7 linked regions of the Cricetulus griseus genome follow. The protein of the gene in region 2 interacts with the protein of the main gene of each other region in a pairwise test. Links are inferred from orthologs where the notes say so. Each region holds a gene or a part of one and is shown on either strand. Other genes may lie near its edges.

Region 1 (3,955 bases), on a different chromosome or scaffold from region 2:
CCTGGACGGTGACTAGAAAAATAGAAGTGATAATATACAAATAAATCCCTCATTTGTCCTCAAGTCTCAGCTTGCCTAGCTATACGGTTTCTTGGCTGGTTTTCCACTGTAGGTTTGTACAAAGCTAGGGACCAAAGCCTTCTTAGGATAGTTTGCATGAAGCCAAGCCCAGAAGACCTCAGGGCAGAGCCCCCAGGCCTGTGCTCTCTTTGCACAAGGCTTAGCCCTTTTGGGCGTGCCCAGAACCCGTCTCGCCCAGAACCCGTCTCACCTGGGCTTCTGGCTGAACTTGCATTTGCACCTTCCACCTGTTGGAGACGGATGTGGTCAGAGGGAGGAACGCAAGTCCCTGCCCTGTTCACCCCCCACCCCCCCGCCAACGGCCCCTCCTGTACTCACTCAAAAGGACTATGATGCCCACGGCACAGAGAATCCCTGCACAGATGAGCCCGCCGACTCGGAGGTTGTACCAATCTGAGAGGGAAGCAGAGAAAATGTCAAAGACAGCCTATGTCCCCCACCCAGTCTATCTAACTTGAGAGCAGTGAAAGGGAAAAGCAAAACCCCAGCCCAGTAGTGCGCACATTGCCGTTCCTAACCAAGTAAACAAGATATTCCATGTCCATTCAGGGACAGAGAGGCCATCTGAAGGGAAAAGATCAGTGTGGAGACAGGAAGTCAAGATGAGGGTCTTTAGAGAGAGTGACCAAGCAAGGGCTCTCTGAGAGGGTCCCACTGGAACGGAGATCTGCAGGGAGGCAGAGGTGGCCCTGAAGACACACGGAAGACAGTGGTCCAGGCAGAAGAACCAGCAGGCGCACAGGTCATGAGATCGGCGGTTGCCTTCTGTATCTGAGGATGATAGCTGGAGCAGGGGTGAGGGTCCGTGGAGAACGAGAGGGCAGGGGGCAAGCGGCAGGGGGAAGTGGAGAAGAGTGGGGTAGAATTCCCTACCTTGTCTGGGAAAAGTTTCATGACCAGCATTCTGGTGTTTGGTCTAAACCTAATGCCTCTTGTGGACTGGACTCAGTCCTGTGTCTGTCTTGAATTCCCCCTCACGGCTATTCCTGTAACCTATCTGGATGTTCAACCACCCATTTCCCACCTTCTCCTGTCGTGGTCCCTGGGTCACTGTGAACTGTCAGTCACCCTTGTGTGGGCCGCTTGGCACAAAATAATGTGTGGGACTGAGAAGAAGAGAGGAGGGGACACGGTTCTTACCATAGTAGAAAGGGCTGTCCTTATCTGCAAAGAGAGACAGGACACACCCATGAATCCGAGGCGCCAGCAGGGTCTAGGGTGAGGGGGGTGGAGGGGTGGGCTCTGACTCACCTTTGGGGTCATTGGCATCCAGAGAAGGCAGGCCTGTGGGGGCAAGTAAGGACAAGCGATGACTATGGTGGCCCTAGAAGGGCCCTCAGCAGGATCCATGGAGGTTTGTTGCCTGAGGGAAAATGTTCCATGTGGAGGTGGGGGAGCAGCCCCACCTCCAAAGTGTACAGGATCTAGCTGCTGGCTAGTCCCACCTGGACACGCGCCTTCATGGAGATGTGGGCTCACTCACCCACTCCTCACCTGTGAGTCATGCCAGCATTTTGCCACCGGAAACCGATCCTACTCCGGGTACATTTTGGGACTGTTTGAGTGAATGTTTCCAGAGGCTCTGCCCTTCCAGGTAGCAGATGGTCTCTGTTCCCAGGACAGCTTTCTCCACGCCAGCAATGCCCACAGCCCACAGCCCTCACAGCCACACCCCACAGTTAGCAGGGCCGCTGACCTCTTTGAAATAACGCACCGTTGGCAACTTCTATTCATTCTTACATTCCTTTCCCAAACAGAATGAAACTTGTGTCCAAAGAATGGTAAGGTAAAAAGCGGAAAAGCAGGGGTGGTGGTGGAGAGAGATGGCCCAGTGGTTAAGACGACTGATTGCTCTTGCAGAAGACCCGAGTTCAGTTCCCAGCACCCACATGATGACTCCCAAACATCTGTAACCCTGGTTCCAGGGGACCTGACACCCTCTTCTGGCTTCCACAGTCACCAAGCACTCAAACGGCAAAACTCACATATGCATAAAATAATATTTTTAAAAAAGTGGCTAGCTCCTCAGAAATGATGCCAAAAGCCATCCCCTGGCTGCCACACCCCAGGCACACAGACATAAGCACACCTGCACACATAATGAACGCACATAGTCATGCACACACAAAAGAGGCCGAGGGGGGAAAGGAGGAAACACGACAGAAGCAAGGGCCAAGGATTAAATTCTGGCTGAAGCTTGTTCAGCTTCGTCCCGGGCCTGAGTTCTGCTAAAGGGAGAAAAACAATGCTTAATTATATTTGAGGCATGAATGCCTGGGGCCCACTCCACCCAGGCCCTGCCATATTGTTGTTCAAACATTAACGCATTGAAGCCTCACGAAGGCCCTATGACTATGTGCTGTTCTCTGTGTTTTCAGAGGAGGGGAAACTGAGGCTCGAGGCATTCCAGTTACCTGCTACATTGCTGCTAGGGTCCTAGGCACAACTGGGAAGGCCATGTAGGGAGGCCGTGGCACACAAGAGTACCGGGCCGAGCCTTTGGCTTGCTGTCATCAAAAATTAAATGGCATCTCCCCACATGCACGAGGCTGCGAGCATGTATGTATGCATACGTACACACACACACACACACACACACACACACACACACACACACAGCTTGTCACCACACAGCTGAGAGGTCCAAGGGAAAGGGCAGCTTGGTGGCCTGATACCCACCTGCTAGGAGGACCAACAGGCTCAGAGCGACCTCTTGCATGTTGCAGCGTTGATCTAGAGGAGTCCAGAGAACAGAACTTTAGCGGGGTGACCAGGACGCAAGGCCCCGCACCTCTGCTTCTCTATCCCACCCCGCTGTTCACCAGGAGCACAGCCCAAGGTCCAGACAGGAAGGCTGGTAGTGACTGGTGCTCACTCACAGGCTGGGAGATAAGGAGCCCCAAAGTCAAGTGGGGGCTGGGTGAGAACTCACGCTCCACAAAGGAACAGCCATTGTCATTGTCATAATGAATCTGTTCTTGGAGAGAAGAGGTGGAGTGGTGTTTTGCTACGTCCGGGCCGGCCTTGAATTTGCCATCCTCCTGCCTCAGCTCTCCAAATGCTAAGGTTAGAGGTGCCCACCTCCACATCCAGCTTGTCACCCCTATCCGTATGATGGGGAAACTGAGGCTCTAAGAGATGAAAGCTGATGGCCAAGATCACTTGGTCCAGAAGGCAGGGTTTCAACAAAGCCTCGTCCCTCACTAGCTGTTCATAACTCAGAACTGTGAGGGCCTCGGGGTGTTTTGGGGAGTAGGGTGTCAGGAGCCAGGTGGCAAGAGGCCCGGGTTCCGGGAGTGGCTCCCACAGACAGCTTGGAGCCTGCCCAAAACACGCTGCCGGCTTCTCTCTGGGGCCTGAGCAGATTCCCTGGGCTCCTGGGTGGGTGTATGGCAGAAATGATGCCAAGTTGATGGGGCGTGTGCAGAGGGGGATCCTGGCTTTAGTCTTACCCTGTCTCCTGCCCCACCCTTGGGTCTGTCCCTTCAGACCCCACTGGGCACTCTCTCAAGTCCAATCTTTGCCCCCTACCCTAGCCTTCACCCTTGACTAGGCCTCTGCGCTCGCTCCGTATTATCCCAGCTCTTGGCCCTGTTGGGCTTCTCTCAGCAGCAAACGCTCCACAGTTCCCCAGTGAGAATCACTCAGCACAGGGCCCCTTCCATACAGCGCTGGCCTAATAGTCTGCCTTTCCGTTACCCTAGAGGCCTCTAGTCAGCTCCTTCTCTCTGAGCACCTCCCCCACTTGCCCTGCTCACCTGTCGTGAGCTCATGTACACACACACACACACACACACACACACACACACACACACACACCACACACACACAAGATAGTGAGTGCTAACACTTGTCCCCATTCCTCACATGCTGG
Region 2 (2,753 bases):
TGACTTCTACCTCTCCCCACAGGGTCTGACTCGGGAAGGTTTCCGGACAGCTGAGGGCTGTTACCGCACTGTATGGGAACGCCTGGGCCTGGCTTTCCAGACCCCAGAGGCATACTGCCAGCAGCAAGTGTTCCGCTCACTAGCCTACATGAGGCCGCTGAGCATCTGGGCCATGCAGCTGGCCCTGCAACAGCAGCAGCATAAAAAGGGCAAAAGGCCAGTTGTCACACAGGGCACAAGACTAAGCACAGAGCCTGAACATGAACCAAAGAAATCTTGGACAAACCTAAGCCCAGAGTGATCCCCCTGAACTGTGGAAGCCCAGCCAATACACTGGTCTTTCCTCCTCCCTCCCACCACTCCTGCAGCCCTGAGCCACTAGGACAATCAAGCCCCTTCCCTTCTTGCTACCCAACTGTGCCAGTAAAAAGGGGCCAAGGAACCACTTATTTATTTCTTACCCTCCCCGTTCCTTCCGTGGATGAAATATTCAAGGCCAGTAAATTTCTCCAAGTCTATTCATGGAACAACAGATATACATGAGTATAAATAAAAGACCATAAAACTGTTAAGTATGGTGTGTTTGAGCTCCCAGGCATCCTAATAGGGCACAGGAGCAGAGGCCAGCTCTTTCCCCCATTCCTTTTTATTTGAATACTGACAGGAATCCTCAGGCTGAGGGTACCCCGCATCTCAAATCTAACATGAATGCCTGCCCAGCAAGACAACAGAAGAAGGGCTGTGGGTAGGCAGCCACTCCCCTTTCTTTGAAAGATTTGCCTTCAGGGGATGGTTGGGGCCTGAGAAGGGGGTCTCTGAGGAAAGATCAAGGAATGTCCAGTGCAGGGGTGGCTCTGCCTGAGGCATGCAGTGTAGGAGGCAGGAAGCGTTGCTGGAGGCCTGGAGCATCTGCTCTGAGCTACCCAGCAGCTGGCTTGTGCTGTCCTTCAGTGACTTTGACCGCTGGGCAGGCAGCTTCTCCTGATGACAGTCCTCACTGGGAAGGGCACGAAGCTGACGGTGCAACACTGAAGAGACAAAGCCTTGTCAAGTGACAAGACAGAAGCCACCCTTTACCACAGCCCATGCCTTAAAGGTCCTCAGCCTCTTACCAACATACTCAGCTGGCACACTCCCCCTTGTGTCAGAGGAGTACATAGCAGGTACAAGAAGAAGGCAGAAAGAAAACAGTAGGACCTAGAACACGGAAAAAAGAGATGAAGGGCTCTGGGTCATACACCCCATCTCTGCCAAGAAAATGATCTGCCGTCCCATTCTCCTCACCAGAACACACGTGCTGCCGCTGCTGGTTTTGTTTGCTATCTCAATAACCATGGCCTGAAGTTTCTTCAGTTGATCTAGAAGGGACCTAAGGGAAGAGAGAGGAAACAGTGGTGAGCATGCCCTGGTCTAGCACTGAGTCACAATGAAACTCACCCTACCACCCTCCTCCCCACCCCCATTTAAGCCACTCTCTCCACTGGTGCAGTGGATCCAATCTCTTAACTTCCTTGCCATCCCCCCTCCCCCCCCAAATGACTTCTTTGTGGACCTGTGGTTCCTTATTGAAACAAAAAATAAAAACTTCCCTGCCTTGACTAAAGCTCCTTTGCCAATACCTTCCAGAATTCTCTTAATACGTGATCAACTATGCATGTAATCCCCACCAGGTACTGTGTTCTCTACTTTCTGGGCCAACGCAAACACAAACACTGTCTTCTCTCCACCTAGAATGCTTTCCCCACTCAGCCCCTCCTACCCCCATTGCAACTGCTCTGATGTTGACTACCTCCATTCAGTCTTTTTCTTTTTTTTTTTTTTAAGATTTTATTTATTTATTATGTATACAGCATTCTGCTTCCGTGTATATCTGCACACCAGAAGAGGGCACCAGATCTCATAATAGATGGTTGTGGGCCACCTTGTGGTTGCTGGGAATTGAACTCAGAACCTCTAGAAGAGCAGTCAGTGCTCTTAACCTCTGAGCCATCTCTCCAGCCCCTCCATTCAGTCTTTTCTTACTTCCTCTTTGTCTTGGTACTTAATTTCTTCTTAGCTACTTGGAAATTTATTCCCCATTACTCTGAGCTTGAGACCTGGCAAAGGCCAACCACCAGATTTTTGAATTTAGGAGCAATCCAGTTAGAAGTCAAGGGTGGAATAGTGGAAAGAGTGAGACAGCATTAAACTAATGACAGGACTGGAGAGATAGTTCAGTGGTTAAGAGCACTGACTGCTCTTGCAGAGGACACAGGTTCATTTCCCAGCACCCACATGGCGGCTCACAACTGTCTGTAACTCCAGTTCCAGAGAACCCGACAAACACACAGACATACATGCTGTCAAAACACCAATGCACATAAAAGTAAAAAATCATTAAAAAGATTTTAAAAATTAATGACTATAAATGGTTGCTTACAGATTCTGTTCCTCTAGAATTCGTATTTTGTTCTGCAGCTCCTGGTTCTGGGCTGTGTATTTCAAGACCCTGGAGGATAACATGGATATCAAAATATTGCCTGTGTCTTCCCTTCAAAAGCTTAAGGCTTCCAACTTGTTCCCCATGCTCTTCCTTTCCTACCTGCTCTCCAACCCTCCCACATACACCTTCTTCTTCTTGCGGCTTTCTTGAGCAGCTCTCTTGTTTCGAATCTTTCTCCGTATCCGTTTGAGAACCTGTTCCTCCACCTAAGAGAAGATGGGAAAAAGGTCATCCAAGGTGTATTATTTTTTATATACCCATACATATATAT
Region 3 (3,919 bases), on a different chromosome or scaffold from region 2:
AATTTTAAAGAAGTTCCAAGCAAGCTCACCCTCCAGGTGTGTGGCAGGCCCTCCTACAACAGGAGGTCTGATCCGTAGGCAGCAGGCGCTAGCTTGTTTCCTGGATGCGGGGGCCAATGTGCCAGATTTTGCTGACGACACATGCTGGTGATGATGCAGCCACCCTCCCGGACAGGCCCTCCATTCTGACTCATCCCAGTTTCAGAGAAGGCAATAACAGGGAAAGACCAACACCCCAAAGGGTCCCCAGCAGACATACGCTTCAGACTCGACCAACTTAGGAAAATTTATTGTTTAAAACCATTCTCTTTAGCCAAGAGCAGAAAGCAGCCCTTGGGAACAGCACTTAGAGGCACATCTGGTCATTGTCCTGTGTGTGGTTATGGAGGGGGACTGGAATGAAGGGAACAGGGCCTTCTAGGGACCCACACATGACCCTCTTGGGCAAGGCTCATGTGCCAAGGCAAAGCAGGTTACATTAGCTTAGCATGAGGAGGGACCTCAGGGCCTTTTGGCCTTGTGTTCTGGCACCTCCTGGAAATTAAGCAACATCAAGCCCACATTGATGGCATAGGTGGTAATGCAGACAATGCAGAAGTCATAGAGCACAAAGAACAGGATCCAGGCCAGGTAGACAGAACCGGCGAAGGACACCAGGGAACTCAGTACCAGTAGGAGAGAGGCCCAGCGTCCCCTCAAGCAACCTGTAAAACAAGACAGGATCAATAATGGTACATCTAGAACTCTGCCATGCCTCCCCAGTGACAGACGGATGGCACATGCATCTGGTAAAAGTTCTCTAAGATAGGATCTGATGGGCCTTATCTGTTCAATAATCCTTGGGACCCAAACAGTAAGTACTCCTGCTAAAGTCTATATTCGGTGAAATACAAGTCACCTTTGGAGTCCCCTCAAAAAGCATTTTTAAACTGGATGTTTATGCCTATAATCTCAGCACTTGGGAGATGGAGACAGGAGATTCAGCAGTTCAAGGTCAACCTGGAATGCATGAGACCTTGTTTCAAACAAAACCCCAAAAAACAAAAACCAGTTAGGTGTGGTAGAGTACGCATTTAGTACCAGCACTCAGGGAGGCAGAGGCAGGCAAATCTCTGTGAGTTCAAGGCCAGCCTGATCTACAGAGGGAGTTTTAGGACAGCTAGGACTGTTTCACAGAGAAACCCTGTTTCCAAAAAAAAAAAAAAAACAAGAAACAAAAACCCAAGAAGCTAGGCATTGTTGGCACATGCCTTTAATCCCAGCACTAGAGAGGCAGAAACAGGCGGATCTCCGTGAGTTCCAGGCAGCCTGGTCTCCAGAGCAAGTTCCAGGACAGGCTCCACAGCTACAGAGAAACTCTGCCTCGAAAAACCAAGCCAAACCAAAACACAAAACCAAATAAAAAGAAAAAAGAATTGAGATGCTGGGAAATCCTGGGGGGGGGGGTTTCAGCCTCTGGCTTCCTGAACTAACTAGGATGCTGGTGTCCTCCTGTTTTGTCTCCTTGTGACCAGGTTGCTCAGTGATTAGCAGCTGACTGTCAACTGTCTGGGTCACCAAGGCATGGGGTGGGGCTGATCTGAATTAGGGAAGACAGGTCATGAAGGGACAAAGCCACTCACCTAACAACAGCTGTATGGTGTAGAAGATGCACCCAAATATGCTGTTGGATTGGTTGAGGACGCTGTCAGATCCTAGCACATGTTCCACCAGCCCAAAGCCCTTGCCCCACCTGGTGGGAGTGAAAGAACCCTGGTTAAGTGTGGTCAGCCTAGTGCCTCTTGGGTTTTATCCTGGAAAATCGATTAGCAACACTCTCCACCCACTAAGAATTCAAAGGTCAGTGACCTGGTATGTCACTGGCTCTATCCTGGCTTGTCATCACAGACCATCTGTAACTTCAGGAGCTGGTGAGATGGCTCAGCAAATAAAAGTGCCTGCTGCCAAGCCTGTCAACTGGGTTGAATCCCCAAGACTCACAAAATAGGAGGGAACCACCTCCGATTTCCACATGCATATAGTGGCAAGCAGTGCCACCCCACAAACTCAAAAATACGGTTTTTTTCTTAATTTTTTCATCTTGATCGTCCTTTATGGTGACCACACTGGGACACCTGGAGCACAATCTATTTGCTTTGGACTTACATGGCTACAGTTCCCTCGCCACCCACTAACATCCGGTCCTCCAGCACAACCAGAGTGAGCCACCTTTGTCCCTGAGCAGAGCGATGCTCCACCACCTCCTCCCGCTTTGTGCCATTGAGGTCTGCCCTGCTTCCTCCAGTTTTCCAATCAGTTATTCACTGGCATCTTCAGAATGCGTTCAAACAGCAGTATCTTCTGAGTGGTCCAGCCTCTGTGCACGTCCGATTACCCACCAAAAACTCCTGGGGCAGTCCACTCTCAAAGTGTCCGTTCTGCGGACACTGCGATCCCAGACTCCAAAATCATCCGGCAACCTGGCCGTCAGGTACACCTGGCCTTCAAGGACCCCATGCTTTCCATTTCCGCACGCACCGAGAGGAGAAGACGCGTGAACAGCTGATGGCCGTGCCCACGTCGCAGAGAGCGCGGTAATCCTCGTCTCGGGCGCGCGCCGCCTTCACGTGCAGCGCGTACAGCGAGAGCGCTAAGCCAGCGAGGCAGAGTGCCAGGCGCCTGCGTCCCGGGCTCCTCCAGGTGGTGCCCATGTTGGCGGCCCAGACCAGGAGCCGGAGGGAAGGACCCGCCACGGGGCGGGGGCGGGGCCTCATATGGCCACGCCCCTCCGCCCCGAAGGTTGACCCGCCTCGGCTGCCATTCTCCTATCCAATTGGTTGTTTTTAGGCACGACAGCTGGGAATGCTGGGCTGGTAAACTGGATTAAGGGACCTGGGGAATTCTTGGTACGGCAGCTGCTAGGCATGATGGGAATCGTAGTCGGAGAGGCTGCAAGACATCAAGGGGAATGGAGTCTCTAGAGTGGTAAAGCTACTATTAATAGAACGGTGCTTAGCGTGTTCTCTATGCCAAGCCCTGTTTTATGCATTTGGCATGTCTAGAGATTAACGGACTAGTGGAATCCAGCGAGAACTGTGATGCGACTCAGGAAGCATTTCCCCTGAAATTGTTTCAGATGCCATTGGGCTGTGACCTGAGCTTCCAGGTAGCCGCCAGCCGTCCCTCGCGCCTCACCAGCGCCCCTTGTGGGCAGAGCGGGCCCTTCCCCTCACAATAAATCCCGTTATCTTGGCCACACTGCTGGAGGTTTCCCAGACCTTGCTACCGTTGTGGTGCCCTCTTGGCAAAACCCGAGCCTGAATCAACGCAACACTTCCTCTGATATTATTTCACCTTTACAGATATTCCACCCTTCCCACTTGCATGGAGTTCCTTCACTAGCTCCCTCTACCTTTCTATCTTACTGTAAGATTTGGGAAGATTTTATATTTCCCGTCTTCCTTATCACATAATAAACTAGCTACCCCAGAACATTCCCCTAACACCTAGTTGCAAGCAGGACCAGGACGTTATGCCCAATGGTTTGACCTCCAAGTGGTATTAATTGCTGCTTTAAAGTACCTATTTCTTCCTTGACAGCTGCCCTCCTCCTTGGCTGCTCCTTCTCACATCTACTACTTTTATTTCAGAGAATGTGCTGGGCACAAACGTCAGTTTCCAAAGATTCTTAGAACTAGTGACTATGTTAGGCTGTAAGACAAAAAGGGAATTAATGCTGCATAGGATCAAAGTGGGCACCCTGGTGTTTCATTTTATTCGTGTTGAGGCCAGCCTGATCTGCAAAATGAGTTCTAGAACAGTCAGGACTGTAAAACAGAGAAATTGTGTCTCGGAAAACAAATACAAAAAGTATTCATTTTATTTTTCGTGTCATAGGATTTTTATTGTTTTAGGATTAGCATAGAGAATAATGGGTTGA
Region 4 (4,268 bases), on a different chromosome or scaffold from region 2:
GAAGTTCTGGCACAGGACAGGATAGGGAAGGGACAGGAAGCTTACCTGCAGTCACTGAGTTCTCTGGGCCTGTGGATACAGAGAGTTGTTTCTGTTAGCACAGAGGCCTCCAGGAACCTACAGCAGACCAGCCAGGATCAGGGACTTGGGGTCAAGTCAGGCTACACTTGGCATATTACCCGCTCAAGTCTCAATGATGCCCTGATGTAAAATTGCCTGCTCCAGGAAAAGGATGAATTGGAATTGTAAATAGTGCTTAGGTGACTTGGCACCAGTGACAAGATGTAGAGTCCCTTGTGTATCTCAGAGCCCAGCAGAAAGTCCAAGATGATCAAGTGTTCAGTGGAAGCCTTTCCACTCCTTACTCTCACTCTATCAACTTCCACTCAATATTGGATTGCAATTAGGGTGTGTTGCTCTCATATCAGTTGGTAGGGACAAGGCTGCATTTGTGTTAGAAGATAGGCTGAAGGTAGCAAAAAGCCTGTCAAGAAGGTGATGGAAAACCCAGCCATCACACCCCATATTGAACACCTGTACAGTGAGTCAAGAGGGTCCCCACACTCACTGGTGAAGAATTGTTGAATTCGAGGAAGGCCACCACCAGGACCACCCAGGAGGATGGTGACTAGGATCCAGGAGAGACCCATAGTGATGATTAGGGCCACGATGCGAAGGGGGCCTGCAGGCAGGACAGACATAGGGCAGGTCCATCTCAGACACCAGTGAAGAAACACAGCAACAACCCACTGCCTCACATGACTAGATCTCCCCTTCTATTTGGCAACAAGTGATGGCAGGATCGAAAGGTGGAGGAACCATTGCTACCCACCAGACCCAAGTAGGAGACATGAAATTACTCCTGGTGGAGGGAAGAAAGTGAGTTTAAATGTTGAGGTTACTATGGTTTTCCCCAGCAGGTTTGGAAGGACTTTTTAGAACTCATGCTCTGGACAGGTTCCATATTACCAACCTCAGCATCTTGCCTCTGAAACTGTCAGTGTATTTACAGCTCACCCATCTGTCTCTCCTTTCCTCTTGTTCTGATGAAAGATCTAAACTTTTGAAGACCAGTACTTCTGCTCGCTTCAAGATCCATCAAGTTCTCTCCTGTCTCAGGTATGTTGTGTTAAGGCTCCTTCTTTCTATTTCACTTTCATAATATTAACAGGTCCTAACTTAATAACATAAAGATGAAACAGAGCTCCTGCAAGAAAAATCTCATCCTTTAACTCCTCACCTTCCACTTCCCCACCAAATTCTTTAAAACTTTATTCTTTGCTGGGGATATAGCTCTGTGGTACAGCATTTGTCCAGCATGCATGAGACCCTGAGTTCCATCCCCAGCATACACATTAAAAAAGTCATCTACATTGTGATTTCTATCATCTCACCCTCCACTCTCCCAAAATTCATCCAATGTAGTCTTGCCACCACAACAGCAAACAAATGACCTTCCAAACCAGACCACCCATGACTTTCATGATATCACATTTCTGATTGCCTGCCTGCTCTTTGTTGACATCTGGGTGGGCTACCCTAGCCATCCTGATGCAAACACTTCACTGCTAGCTTTTAGCACAGTCTCCTGACCTGAGTCTTTGGGACTTTCTCTTTTTTGGTTATGTCATCTTCCATTACTCTTTCCTCAAAAGCTAGTCTTTTCCAGGCTGCCTTCTCCTGTCTGCATACTCTCTTTATGGGAGATTTCATCTACCACAATTATCAAGTTAAACACCATGCAGCAATGACACCTTATTTTCTGGCTCTAGTCCTGATCAATCTTGAACCCACATCCTCCCTGTCAGTTCCTTATAGCCCTTACCAGCCCTTATCTATGAAGTTGCTACCTTATCAGTTCTTGAATTGTACTCTTACCCCAATCAGTCTGATCCACGAACCATTTTCATCCCCACAAGGTATCTTAGTTGTACAGCTGACAGCAGCCACGCCTCTCTGCTCTACTCTCCACCCCTCCCCACCCAGACACTAGACTCTTTGGAACCTCTTTCTCACAAGTCATTTTCCAAAACGCAACTGGCCTGTTACTTGAGTTGGGTGTAAGTGACTATATATTAATCCTTAACTTATAGTTTGGGAAGCTGAAATCTTCATAGGTGAAAGAATTTGCTCATAAAATAAGTGTTTGTGCACAGTCATCCATTAATAAATAACAAACCAGTGACTACCTGGGCCCCTCCTGACACAACCACTATGACGTCTGGACTCTCTTCCGTTCGCTGTGGAAGCCACCCACCTGCCAACCTCATGTCCACTTCTCCCACTGGGTTGGGACCTCCGGCAGGTGCACTGTTTGGGGACCGTGGGCTCTGAGAGGAATGAAGCAGGAGAGTAGGTTGGGTGGTGGGGTAGGGACAAGTCTGTGCTGGGCACGATCGGTGCTACAACTTGTTCCTCCAGACACCAGACCAGGCTCAGTTCCTCGTGAGCACTGGGAGAAGCACTTCCTAGCCAGCAGGGCTTTGGAAACCCGTCGCGGCTCTCAGTCTGGCTAACAGAAGCCTCCAGGACTGGAACGTAGCAATTGTTCTCCCTGACTCGGGCCCCTCCCGTGCTAGGCCCGGGGATCGGGTCGGTCCTGTTGAGGCTGCCGGCAGAGACCCGGCAGGCCAATGACGCTGCCTGGGTGTAGAAGGACGCAGATTGGATCAGGGATTTTCCAGTGGTCTCGATTTGCGGGCGAGGTGAAGCAAACGAGTCACGCAGAGAAGCTTGGCCAGCACGACAATGGCGGCCCAGGGAGGGTCACAGCCCACAGGCGCCGCTCCGCCATAAGCCCACAGGCTGCGCTGTGGGGCCGCAGGTCCCCACGCAGGCTCCGCCTTCAGACCCGCCTCCTCCCTCTTCTCCAGAGGCTGGGTGGGAGGTGCCTAGAGAGGCTATTTCCCTTCAGCTTGTACTCAAGCTGAGCCACCTAGCTTCCTGGAAAGAGCCTGAGTCATTGCTGCCAGATGAATCTCCTATACTTTTTTTTGAGATCGGATCACACCCTATAGTTCATGCTGGGATTACAGGTGTAAACCACCACAGCCAGCTTCCCCGCTGCCTCCACACGCTCTGTTTGGCGGGAGATCTTCTATTTATACAATTGGTGAGCCGAAGCTCTGCTTGAGACTTGAGATCAGAGCTCTCATGGCTGGTAAGAGAATGGATCTGGGGACGTAGATAATGACATTAGGTTAGCATGTGTTTTTTAAGAACACGGAAAGTCCAGAAGCACATGTGGAGGTAAAGCAAAGCCTGAGTCCCAGAGAGTGGCCCTTTGGTTGCTTTCTTTCTGCTCTGATTTTTTCCCCAGGGAGTCTTTTTTTTTTTCTATTTTATGTATCACTCAGTGTGGGATGTCTGGAATGTAACCCTCGTTCCTCTTGCTTGAGCTTTCTGTCTCGACCACCTACACTGCCAGGGCAGCTGAGACAGTTCGTTCAGCTGGAATCATCTGTCTCCTCAGGCAGCAGCTGGACAGAAGTAAAACAGCATTCCTGTCCTTTGACCCAATGATCCCACTTACAGGAACTCCACCACTTTTAGGTAATGCTCCAAAATATAGAAAAAGTTTATAGAAGCACTGTTTTGGTTAGAACATAGCATTTTCAATTTTGGTACACCTGTAATCTTGCTACCTGGGAGGTGGAGGCAGGAGTATCAAGAGTTTAAAGGCATCCTCGGCCCTTTATCAAGTTTGAGGATAGACTGAGATTCCTTAGACCTTGTCTCAAAAAAAAAAATGGTGGGATAGAGATGGCTCAGCGGTTAAGAGCACTAGCTATTTTTCAGATGTCCTGAGTTTAATTCCCAGCAATAGTGTCTCACAATCATCTGTAATGAGATCTGGTATCCTCTTCTGGCCTGCAAGCATATACATGTAGGCAGAACACTGTATGCATACTAACTAACTAATTCAGTGTCAATCATTTGTTGTTGTTTTCGAGACAGGGTTTCTCTGTGGCTTTGGAGGCTGTCCTGGAACTAGGTCTTGTAGACCAGGCTGGTCTCGAACTCACAGAGATCCACCTGCCTCTGCCTCCTGAGTGCTGGGATTAAAGGCGTGTGCCACCAACGCCCAACTCAGTGTCAAGCATTTTTTAAAAATGGTGGTAATGGAGTCAGGTGTGCTAGTTTATGTCTGTAATCCCAGCATTTGGGAGACAGAGGCAGGAGGATCAGAAATTGAAGGCCAATATCAGCTAAAAGTGAGTTTGTGGTCAGCCTGAAGTGCATGAAAACCTATCTTTAAAAAAATTGTT
Region 5 (3,500 bases), on a different chromosome or scaffold from region 2:
CTCACCTCACCACACTTGGTTGCCACCCCAGCCTCTTTACCACAAAGATGGTCAGCGCCAACTTAACCTGCTGGGCTCCGTAGGCTGCAGAAAAGGCAAAAAGAAGGGCCCCATAAGAAGAAGGTTGGTGATGGGGGTCACGGGATGAGGGCACTGTCTGGGCCCACTTACTAGGGGGTGTGTAGAGAGGGTGGTTGATGTAATAGGCCATCCATGCAGCAAAGCCCCAGTAGTAGGTGCAGTTCTGAAAGAGAGCAGATGAGTGAGCCTAGGGAGGGCGGGTGCTGCTGGGCAGAGCAGAAAGAATAAGGATGCTCACTTTGAAGATGTTTCGCAAGGGCATGGTTCCGTGAGAGAAGCGGTGCACGAAGAGGGTCTCCAGCAGACGCTTGACGTAGTGGGATGAGTGGCAGATGCAAGCGAGGCTGGTGGGGCAGCTGATTCAGCTGGGGTTGCTCCAGCCCTCCACCCGCCCCGCCCCCTCCCACTCTCCTGTGGGCCCCACTCACTGCACCACTGTGTGCCGACTGGACGTGAAGTCGTATTTGTGGCCATAAATGAAGGGTACCCGGAAGTAGAAGAGCAAGTAGATGAAAAGGGGCCCAGCATACTCAGTCAGGAAGACCTGGGAGTGCCCAGAGACAAGGTGAGTAACCCCAGGGTGGCTGAAGGCAGAGACCAGGGAAGGGGTCAGGGCTTACCGTCACCCAGCTGATCTGTGCCCCCAGGTCCCGGAAGAAGAGTGTGGCTGTGGTGCCCACAGGAAGCTTCTGCAACACATCTTCATCTTTCAGGGACTTTCCCTCTACAGAAATCAGTCAGTATTCAGATGCTGCCCTGGGTTTCTGACCCCAAGAGCCCAAGGGAAAGGCTGTACTCACTGGGGTCCAAGCGGAGGGACTGGCGGGCAGGGTACCACTGCGGGTCTGCTAGGAGAAGGTGAGGTTGCAGCACCCAGTCTGGCTGGGTTCAGCCTGCCCATCGTAACCCAGCCTGCCTCTCAAGGTTCCCAGAATTCTGGGACCCCCGGCTCTTCCCACCCTATGCAAGAACACACCCAAACAGCTACAGATTTTGTCCTTTGAATAACGCAAGAGCATTCCTGCAGGTGGCCACACGGGGGCAGCCTGCCCAGTCAGAGGGGCCCCATTCCCTGCTCCAGTGTGCTGACAGGCCCTCTCTACAAGTCCCTAAGGAAGCCCAGGTCTCTCATCCAGAGGGGTGACAGGAGTGGGGATAGAAGTGTAGGGCCTGCACTCACGCGTCTTGGTGAAGAGATTCTTGATTTCAGCAATGGTGGCCTGAGGCTCCACCTGAGAGAAAACAGACTATCAGTCCCAAAGGAGCCCCAGATCTGGGACAGGGGTGCCAGGCACAGGCGGTCAGGATCACGCCAGCTGGCTTCAGCAGGGTGTATCTGTCTTCCACCTCCTTCACAGACACAGGGTCCTTCCAGGCTGCCTTATCCCTTCCCCTACCAGGCAGCCAGCTCCCAGCCCTATGCAGGGGTCACGATTACACGTTCTAGCTCAGTGGTTCTCAACCTTCCTAATGCTGTGATCCTTTAATAAAGTTCCTTGTGTTGTGGTGACCCCGAGCAAAAAATTATTTCCTTGCTATTTCACATCTGTAATTTTGCTACTGTTATGAATCACAATAGAAGCATCTGATATGCAGCCCCACAGGGGTGGAGACCACAGTTTGAGAACTGCTGCTCTAGATGAAGGCAATACCCCTTGTGTGCCCTCTGAAGGACAAGGGGGCCACCAATGTCTGCACAGCCCTACAACTTCACCACCAGGGTCACAGTCCTACCTTGTCCAGGAAGCACAGCTTCTCCCTCGTCTTCGCATCCAGAATTTCCACCTCAAAGAAGAGAACCGCCTTTTTATGCTTCTTGGCTATCTTGTGGGGCACGGGCATGGGAAGACCATCGAGGCCTTGGTGGGCCTCCTTGGCCACCATGCTCAAGCTGATATCCATGCCACTGTCGGCCCTACTGCTCTGCCTACCAGGCTGTGGCGCCCACTGCCAGCCACCAGCCCCCACCTCCGACCTCCCCTCACAAAGCTGCTCTGAGCTGGGCTGGGCAGCATGATGAAACTCTGCCTCGGTGCTGGAAAGGAGCCTGTGTCTGACCAGACCCAGCCAGCTTCAATGCCAGATGTAACCCGAGTGGCACCAGGGCCCGGCCCGGCCCGGCTAAATATAAAACCATCCCAAGTTCCCCCGAAGGAGCCACACCACAGTCCTCCCCTGGGGGCTACCCTCATAGAAGCAGCTGAGTGGACACTGGGCCTCAAAAGCGCCAGGGACAAGAAAATCTCCCAGAGATGGGAAAAAGCACACAGCCAGTGGCAGGGGTGGCTAGCCCAGGCCCAGTGCCCAGCTCTGGCTGACAGGTTACTGGACCTGGGGAAATGCCAGCTGTCTAGAGAATCTGAGAGACAGATCATGCATTGCCACTTCTAAGCTGTAAGGGACACTGGATTATTTCCCTTGTGCATTTGTGTTCCCAGAGAGGTGACAAATTCCAGAGTTATCGGTGCACAGTTCCTTTTCTAAGTATGGAGAGGAAAGAGTGAGCAAGGTTCTCCACCCCTCTCCTCATTCTCAACAGTTCCACCCACACCTGCTTCAAAACCACCTGCATGGCAGTCTACCACATCAGGCCAACATCAATGTGCTCACCTCACCCATGGATGAGTCTCGCTGCAAAGCCTTCAACACACAACCCAGGCCTGCCGATACCCCTAGGGTCCACAGTCTCCAAAGGAGAAATACCCAGGCTAGAGCCACTCAGTGGTGCAAAGGAACAGAGTAAGAAAACAGCCCCAGGAGATCTGAGCCACCTGTCCCAGAAGGTCAGAGAAGGCTGCTGACATGATGGTCTGCACTGTCCATAGTAGCTGGGAGAGGCCTGGGGGTCCTATGGGGATCTGTGACTTCTCATTCTCAAGGATGGGGACATCACAGGCCAGAGAAGCTGGTCACTGCCATCTGCATGCTCCAAAGAGCAGAGGCTAAGATAGTCCTAGGGTCTGACCCCAGGCCTGGCCTGCTAGGGGTCCCTGAGAGGATGTGCATGAACCAACATGGTGCTGGCACAAGGGAAGTATGTGCGTGTGTGTGTGTGTGTGTGTGTGTGTGTGTGTGTGTGTGTGTGTGTGTGTGTGTGCGCGCGTGCGCGCATGTGTGCATGTGTGTATGTGTGTCTGTGGCCCCACAAAAGTGACTACCTGGTGATTAGGTAGGGAGGCCCCATGGAGGTGACCCTACACAGTGAAGCAGCCCTGCAGGGCCTAGGCCTGGATTCAGAGCAAGGCTTCTATGCCAGCCAGTGGCACCCAGGCCTGCTTGCCCATCTATGCCAGAGCCTACATCATGGACACAGCGCAGGAGAGAGTACAGAAATCACTTGCTATCCACTGCAAACTCAGCTTCACCCTGTGGCCTGAGGGGCAAATGACTGAACCACATAAGGACAGTATCAGACCAGA
Region 6 (4,042 bases), on a different chromosome or scaffold from region 2:
CACGGCTTTCCAAATGGGATACAGAAGCTTGAAGAACATGCCACAGTGTCTGCTCCCCTGAAAACATAGGTGTCTTGTTCTCTTTCATTTCCTTTCTACTTTCCTTAAAACAATAGTGCAAAAAGGACTCCCCTAAAAATGTAAATAAGGAAGGAGTCAGAGAGTTCAGAGTTGGATGGAACAGTCACGTGTCTTTCCCTGCAGCTGCAGTTGCTGATGGAAGACTCAGGGGAAAAGCACTACTTCTACTAAAATGCCTGTCCAAGAAAAAGGTGAATGAGAATTGGGTTCTGCAGCATTTCTGCAGATGTAAGACTCCCAAGCAGGGGACAACACAGTTTGCTACAATTGCTACATCTAAATGTGAAGGAAAGCTAGATATGGCTTCTCTATGCAAAGATAAACTGTGGAAACATGGAAAATACATGTGGAAGACCAAGAAATGGGGGTAACTATGTGTCTTGGAAGCTCTCTAAACAATAATGCTTATAAAAGAGAGTTTAAGGGGCGATCTCATTTTCCACTGGCAAGGATTCCTGTTCCTGGGGAGGTTCAGGAAAATTTATTTCTGTTTCTTCTTCTTCTTCTTGCACTGGAATAATTTCAATTTCTTCTTCGTTTTTTGGTTGGGAAGATACTCCACTTAGCTCAATGATTTCTTCTTTCATTTTAATTGTCTGTTCTTTTTTTTCTCCAGCTGACAGCAGAACTACATTCTAGAACAAAAACAAATGCCTCTTGACCTTTACCCTTGACACGTCTCCCAACAATCAACATGTATCCAAATGCCAACTTATTCTCATGTTCTTTATTTAGTTAACCATATACTATAGATAGCAGGATTGGCTACTTAGATGCACAAATTCTCATCAAATCACCTCCTTATTAAATCTCGAGTCTGGGGTAATCATTAAGGATTTCAGGCCTTTGCCATTTTGCCTAGAATAATCATACCACATGGAAAAATAATACCAAAAAGAGAGGAGTTTGGATTCTAGAACTGATTTGCCTTTGGTGATCATAACCTTGGGAAGAGGCCCTCATTCTACCCTCTCCCAATCTGTATAATGAAGTAATCATAATGGCTTCTAATCCATAAACTAAATCTTATAGTCTGGAGTTCCACAGTAGTTTATAAGGGAGCTACTATTAGAGCATTCATGTTTTCTAGCTTTGGAGATGCTTTGAAATACTAATGTCTTGGAAGTGGAATGAGGTGAAGAGCATGGGAGGAGAGTGGAAAAATGAAAAATCCAAGAACCAATGACTTTATCAGCCTCCTGTCTTCAGTCATCCTATGTTACAGATTAAGATGGGGGTGGCATGTGATCAAGGGATGAGTAAGAATGGCCCCCATAGGCTCAAAACTTTGAATACTTGTCAAAATATGGCCTTGTTGGAGGAGATGTGTCACTGGGGTTGCGCTCTGAGGTTTCAAAGGCTGGTGCCATTCCAGTTAGCTCTCTTTGACTCCTGCTTGTGGATCAGATATAAGCTCTCAGCTACTGCCCCAGAGCCATGCCTGCCTCCTGCTACCATGCTCCTCCCCATAATAGTCATGAACTCTAACTAATCTTCAGGACTGTCAGCCCCAAATAAAGGCTTTCTTTTATAAGTTGCCTTGGCCATGCTGTCTTATCACTGCCATGAAACAATAACTAAGACGGGGCAGGACCGGGAGTCTGGAGTCAACCAGAAGGAAAAGCTGGTTGGCAGGCAAACTTGTGCAACATGTGGAACTGTAGCTTCTGTCTAACCATAGACTTACTTATACTTCAAAACGTTTGCTGCCACTACTGTTGTTTTCTGTTTTCCAAAAAATACAGCAAAGCCATTTATTCCAAATGAAGCTCCTAGTTTCAGAATTTTTGTCAGATTAGATTCTATGTAAACAATTCTTTGTAGATACTAAGTTTTAAGAAGGACGTTATGGACAAGGAACTGCAACTTACAGATTTGGGTCTGGAGCACATTCTTCTCCAGTCATTTTCCACAACTCCAGCTGTCACAAGTTTCTGGAAGAAGGCAGAGATCAGCATCACTGACAAAATGCCCTGGAAACAGAATGGAGGTAAAGATGAGGTAACGGCAGCTGGATGGACTTAGTGCACAGTGATGACTATGACTGGAACTCAGTGAGCAACAGTTCAGCTCAGTTCTTCAGGTGAGTGAAATGAAGAGCTGGGGGGAATGGCTGCTATAAAAGATAGCATCTTTACAACCCAACGGCTGAACACAAGGAAGTAAGGTGGGAATAGGAAACTGAAGAATCAATTTTTGTAAGAAAGAGTTCCACATTAAATTCTGTCAGCTTGGTCTGGTACAGTAGCTCAATGGTAGGGTACTCGCCCAGCATACTTGAGGTCCTGGGTTCTAGTCCCACTATGTAAACTAGGTATGGTAGCATGTGCCTGTAATCCCAGCACTAGGGGAGTTAGAGGCAAGAAGACCAGAAGTCCAGAGTTGTTCTTGACTACACAGCAAAGTGAAGGCCAGCCTGGATTACAGGAGACCCTGTCTCAGAAGAAATTGTATCAGCTTTAGAATATGTGACATCACACCAAGGAAACTCCACAATACTTGGGAGATGTATTGCCTTTCCCTTTTAAACTCTGCATTCAAAAATTCTGTGGGAGAAAACATATTAATAACAGTTTATGAATTTCTTCCATATTTTTATCGAAAATTATTAATGTCATCCATGATATTAACAAAGGTGAACGATGACCACATAAAGCTTGGTGTGGTGGCACATGCCGGTAGTCCCAGCATTCAGGAGGTAGAAGCAGAATTGTTGTGAGTTTGAAGCTAGTCTGGGCTAAATAGTCAGCAGCCAGGGCTACACACTAAGCCCATTCCTCAGAAGAAATAATCAAGTCACAAGTATACTCTTGGGTACAAATGATTCCAAGTGCCTTGCTTATGTAAACTAATTTGTTTCTACATCAATCCAAGGAGACACATAGTCTTACTCCCCCTGTTTTACAGCTGGGGAAAGGAAAGTAGTATATGAGGAGGGTTCTTGCCCAAAGCCAAGTGCAGGAAAAGTGCAGACACAGACTACCTGGACCCAGCATGGATGCTCATAATAAAACACAGCACGTTTCTTCTCCGGAGGAACACCGCTTTCATACTTACCAAGAACACAGATTGCATGCTGTAACAGTACTGTGTAGATGGGGAGTTTTTCTCTGAGGAATTAGATGGTTCACAGTTGTAGATATCAACATACAGGTTGGGGGTTTTACTAAGAATCAGACGCTCCATTTTTAGGAAATGAGAAACTGTAATGTTCAGTATGTCCATGATTGAAAGAATTATTCCAGAAATGGCAGCAAAGAGGCTCAGAGAGTTCATTATCACTTTGGCTTTGACCTGAAACAGAGGCAGCCTTTGTTAGTTAGATTTGATTTCTCTTCAGAAAACAACGTAGGATGCGAGATTCCAGCTGCTGTCTCCCCGGCTCAGAGAGACTCCACACCTATATTCTAGTTTTGTTCTCACTGTGGTTTTTAGCCTCTTTGTCACCGTAAAGCAAAACTTTTAGTTTTCTTCTCCCTCCTTTTCCAGTCTTCTCATCTTGTGCAATCACCATCCAGTCAATTTATAAAACAAAATCCCAGTGATGCCTTGCCCACAGGTTGTACCTACACTCTTTTTTATTATCACCACCCTCCCAGCATGCTTTAGAGATTTAGTGAGCATCCAGATTACTATCTCTTTGCATAAAAAGGCAGTGGGCAGAGGGATAAGAAGGATTTTATAATGTGTCTAAAGATCTTTGGTGTAGATATAGATAGAAACTTCTAGGTTTGTACTAGCCAATGAAAATGAATCAGCCATAATAACTCTACCTCTCCCTACTGACAATGTACCCCCACTCAACTGTCTTCCCCCAGGTCCATGAGCTCAGATGTCTCTTGATACATGGGCCAGAGGATATGGTTGTGACCGTTCTGTCCTTACACTGGTGATAAAAGTTTGATGTATCATATGCCAAGTACCACGATGCTGTGGTATTATTGATTATTTTATGAAGCAC
Region 7 (2,638 bases), on a different chromosome or scaffold from region 2:
CAAGCACAGTCCAAGATTGCAGCTACCAATGCCACCACCACCTGCCCCCTGGCCAAGCACTGAAGAGACAAAAGAGTAGGGCCCGTTTCATGGACAACAGAGACATTAAGATACTTCTAGTGGGGCTGGAGAGATGGCTCAGAGGTTAAGAGCACTGACTGCTGTTCCAGAGGTCCTGAGTTCAATTCCCAGCAACCACATGGTGGCTCACAACCATCCGTTATGAGACCTGGTGCCCTCTTCTGGTGTGCAGATATACATGGAAGCAGAATGTTGTATACATAATAAATAAAATAAAAAGATACTTCTATTGACTGTTAGATAATGTTATTTATTATTTCACACAAAAGTTGGAGACCAAGGTTACAACTATTAAATACCTCTTTCCCACCCACCCCTCAAAAGACAGCCCAACTTTGTTAGAAACACACACACACATACACAACAAAATACCACCATTCAGGTGAGATGCGGGAAATAATAAAAAGAAACACAAGACCCAACATCTTTGCACACTGATATCAACATGGCCATGACACCAGAGGAAAACAGTCACGGCCAGTTAACACGGATGCCAACAACAAAGGGCACTGGGCTCAGAACAGCTGCTACTTCAGGCCATGTTTTGTTTTTTTCTTTTTCTTTTTTGGTTTTGAGACAGGGTTTCTCTGTGTAGCTTTGGAGCATATCCTGGCACTCGCTCTATAGACCAGGTTAGCCTCAAACTCACAGAGATCCACCTGCCTCTGCCTCCCAAGTGCTGGGATTAAAGGCATGTGCCACCACCTCCTGGCCAGGCCATGGTTTTGGGGCTCTACAGGAGTTGGGGCTGCTGGTTTCAAAGTTCAGGTCACTGGCTGGATATGCTTTTGGTGAGGGAAAAATGTGTCAAGCATCTCCCTCCATTGCAGAGAGAGAGGAGGGCACAGGGAGGGGTCTAGGAGCCTCAAAAGTTTCTTAGAGCCCCAAGAGAAGACAGCCAGGCAAGATTCTCTCCTACAGAAGAGAAGGCCCTTCATGGATAGAGTTCACAGCCCCCGGGGGCTAGCACATTTGCTTTACATGGCATAAATTCCCACTGCCACTGTTGCCATCAGAAAGCTAAGAGTCAGGACCCATCGGAGGAGTGGTGCCTGGGATGAGCTAGTGCTGATCTGGGGCTTCCCTCTGGATGTCTCTGCAGGTGTAGAGTCTGAAAGAGAAAGATAGAAAAGGTCAAACACATGCAGCCCTGGCTATATGACATTAAAGTACACAGAGTAAAAGGATACTTAGTGTGTCTGTCTCCAGGACAGTTCCAGGCCAAGACCACAATTCTGCTAAAGCATAGAGTGTCCATCTTCAAAGCTAGGAGCTCACTTATTCTCAAGCTGTTCATCCTTCATGCCCAGTCATTTCTATCAAGGAAAGTCCCCTGACTCAACCAAGTAGCTAACTCCATCAACTGGCCACATTTCAGCCCACTAGAAACAATACTAGTAACAGGGCCATTATTACCTCTCCCAGTTGGGAGAGCCTTAGGCATAAAGTGGGTTAGGATGGCATTGAGCAAGACAGCTTCACATAACCTGTCCTGCCGCCCATACTCTCATCACCCACTCCCTGTGCCACACTGTCCCAGAAGTGACAGGCTCAGGGAAGGCACGTGTTTAATCCCAGCATTTGGGAGGCAGAGGCAGGCGGGTCTCTGTGAGTTCGAGGCTAGCCTGGTCTACAGAGGGAGTACCAGGATAGGCTCCAAAGCTACACAGAGAAACCCTGTCTCGAAAAACCAAAAAAAAAAAAAAAAAAGAAAAGAAACACAATCCTGCCTATTTGTAAAAGGTTGAGACAAGAAGATTGTTTGATCCTAGGGTTTGAGGCCAGCCTGGGTAACCTAGTCTGACTGCCTCAGAAAATGCTTGGGGGGACTGTCCTAAATAAAGGATCTCTGCACCAGTGACTTCTAAGGGATTTCTGTACACTTCAGCCAATGCAACTATAGCCCAACCATCTGATTTCCCAATGTGGGGAAACTGAGGTAGAAGGCCTTACAGCTCACCCAGTCACCCTGGGCCCTTTTGTCTGTACACTATTTCTAATTTAAAACATTCAGAAAAGAGGAGAATAAAGAAATCACAGAGACAGTAGCTGGGCCATGTTCCTGCCAAGAAAAGCCAGAAGCAAGAGGGCACCTTTACCTTGCACCAGGCTACCAGGCCGCTGGCGAGGGCCCTCCATCTGTGAGGGGCTCTGATCCTTGTGGTCCTGTGTCAGCAGCTCCTGGAGCTCCTCAAACAGCTAGAAGATAAGACATACTGCCATGTTAATTTGACTCAGTGGTGGCCCCAGCTGAAGGCAGAGCTGGAAGCATGCTATGAAATATTGTAGAAACGACACAACTTAAGAAAATGATCTCCCCCCAAGAAAAAAAAAAAAACAAAAACAAAAACAAGCCAGGCATTGGTGGCACACACCTTTAGTCCCAGCACTAGGGAGGCAGAGGCAGGCGGATCTCTGTGAGTTCAAGGCCAGCCTGGTCTCCAGAGCGAGTGCCAGGATAGGCTCCAAAGCTAAACAGAGAAACCCTGTCTCGAAAAAAAAAAAAGAAAGAAAAAGAAAACTATCACACACCCATGCATTTTTAACCTACCTCATG

The links.
Region 1: the proteins of Creb3 (region 2) and FXYD domain-containing ion transport regulator 3 interact in a two-hybrid assay, tested with the Homo sapiens proteins (2 studies listed by BioGRID and IntAct). The two-hybrid records come from large-scale screens. The link is inferred for Cricetulus griseus from reciprocal best matches to the Homo sapiens genes CREB3 and FXYD3.
Region 3: the proteins of Creb3 (region 2) and Vkorc1 interact in a two-hybrid assay, tested with the Homo sapiens proteins (2 studies listed by BioGRID and IntAct). The two-hybrid records come from large-scale screens. The link is inferred for Cricetulus griseus from reciprocal best matches to the Homo sapiens genes CREB3 and VKORC1.
Region 4: the proteins of Creb3 (region 2) and Fam3a interact in a two-hybrid assay, tested with the Homo sapiens proteins (2 studies listed by BioGRID and IntAct). The two-hybrid records come from large-scale screens. The link is inferred for Cricetulus griseus from reciprocal best matches to the Homo sapiens genes CREB3 and FAM3A.
Region 5: the proteins of Creb3 (region 2) and Tecr interact in a two-hybrid assay, tested with the Homo sapiens proteins (2 studies listed by BioGRID and IntAct). The two-hybrid records come from large-scale screens. The link is inferred for Cricetulus griseus from reciprocal best matches to the Homo sapiens genes CREB3 and TECR.
Region 6: the proteins of Creb3 (region 2) and B-lymphocyte antigen CD20 interact in a two-hybrid assay, tested with the Homo sapiens proteins (2 studies listed by BioGRID and IntAct). The two-hybrid records come from large-scale screens. The link is inferred for Cricetulus griseus from reciprocal best matches to the Homo sapiens genes CREB3 and MS4A1.
Region 7: the proteins of Creb3 (region 2) and Hmox1 interact in a two-hybrid assay, tested with the Homo sapiens proteins (2 studies listed by BioGRID and IntAct). The two-hybrid records come from large-scale screens. The link is inferred for Cricetulus griseus from reciprocal best matches to the Homo sapiens genes CREB3 and HMOX1.

Annotation. Positions count from the first base shown.
Region 1 is NC_048602.1:4,720,095-4,724,049, reverse strand, and holds the start of FXYD domain-containing ion transport regulator 3, read right to left. Parts: upstream 2,801-3,955; coding exon 2,761-2,800; intron 1,366-2,760; coding exon 1,333-1,365; intron 1,246-1,332; coding exon 1,222-1,245; intron 475-1,221; coding exon 400-474; intron 309-399; coding exon 272-308; intron 64-271; exon of another isoform or gene 13-63; coding exon 1-12. UniProt on the Homo sapiens protein: Associates with and regulates the activity of the sodium/potassium-transporting ATPase (NKA) which transports Na(+) out of the cell and K(+) into the cell.
Region 2 is NC_048595.1:99,950,819-99,953,571, forward strand, and holds the end of Creb3 (cyclic AMP-responsive element-binding protein 3), read right to left. Parts: intron 2,689-2,753; coding exon 2,582-2,688; intron 2,489-2,581; coding exon 2,420-2,488; intron 1,370-2,419; coding exon 1,285-1,369; intron 1,198-1,284; coding exon 1,113-1,197; intron 1,029-1,112; coding exon 700-1,028; 3' UTR 501-699; downstream 1-500. Other genes in the region: Gba2 (non-lysosomal glucosylceramidase), read left to right, coding at 23-301. UniProt on the Homo sapiens protein: Endoplasmic reticulum (ER)-bound sequence-specific transcription factor that directly binds DNA and activates transcription. Plays a role in the unfolded protein response (UPR), promoting cell survival versus ER stress-induced apoptotic cell death.
Region 3 is NC_048596.1:72,881,105-72,885,023, reverse strand, and holds Vkorc1 (vitamin K epoxide reductase complex subunit 1 precursor), read right to left. Parts: upstream 2,693-3,919; 5' UTR 2,691-2,692; coding exon 2,518-2,690; intron 1,733-2,517; coding exon 1,623-1,732; intron 705-1,622; coding exon 502-704; 3' UTR 501-501; downstream 1-500.
Region 4 is NC_048604.1:1,323,706-1,327,973, reverse strand, and holds the start of Fam3a (protein FAM3A), read right to left. Parts: upstream 2,801-4,268; 5' UTR 2,271-2,800; coding exon 2,258-2,270; exon of another isoform or gene 2,190-2,257; intron 683-2,189; coding exon 569-682; intron 70-568; coding exon 46-69; intron 1-45. UniProt on the Homo sapiens protein: May act as a defensin against invading fungal microorganisms.
Region 5 is NC_048596.1:160,825,530-160,829,029, reverse strand, and holds part of Tecr (very-long-chain enoyl-CoA reductase), read right to left. Parts: intron 1,867-3,500; coding exon 1,816-1,866; intron 1,314-1,815; coding exon 1,262-1,313; intron 930-1,261; coding exon of another isoform or gene 927-929; coding exon 882-926; intron 806-881; coding exon 702-805; intron 626-701; coding exon 510-625; intron 426-509; coding exon 320-425; intron 245-319; coding exon 172-244; intron 85-171; coding exon 41-84; intron 1-40. UniProt on the Homo sapiens protein: Involved in both the production of very long-chain fatty acids for sphingolipid synthesis and the degradation of the sphingosine moiety in sphingolipids through the sphingosine 1-phosphate metabolic pathway.
Region 6 is NC_048596.1:49,205,625-49,209,666, reverse strand, and holds the end of B-lymphocyte antigen CD20, read right to left. Parts: intron 3,376-4,042; coding exon 3,139-3,375; intron 2,055-3,138; coding exon 1,953-2,054; intron 717-1,952; coding exon 501-716; downstream 1-500. UniProt on the Homo sapiens protein: B-lymphocyte-specific membrane protein that plays a role in the regulation of cellular calcium influx necessary for the development, differentiation, and activation of B-lymphocytes.
Region 7 is NC_048596.1:150,866,393-150,869,030, reverse strand, and holds the end of Hmox1 (heme oxygenase 1), read right to left. Parts: intron 2,281-2,638; coding exon 2,181-2,280; intron 1,193-2,180; coding exon 1,059-1,192; 3' UTR 501-1,058; downstream 1-500.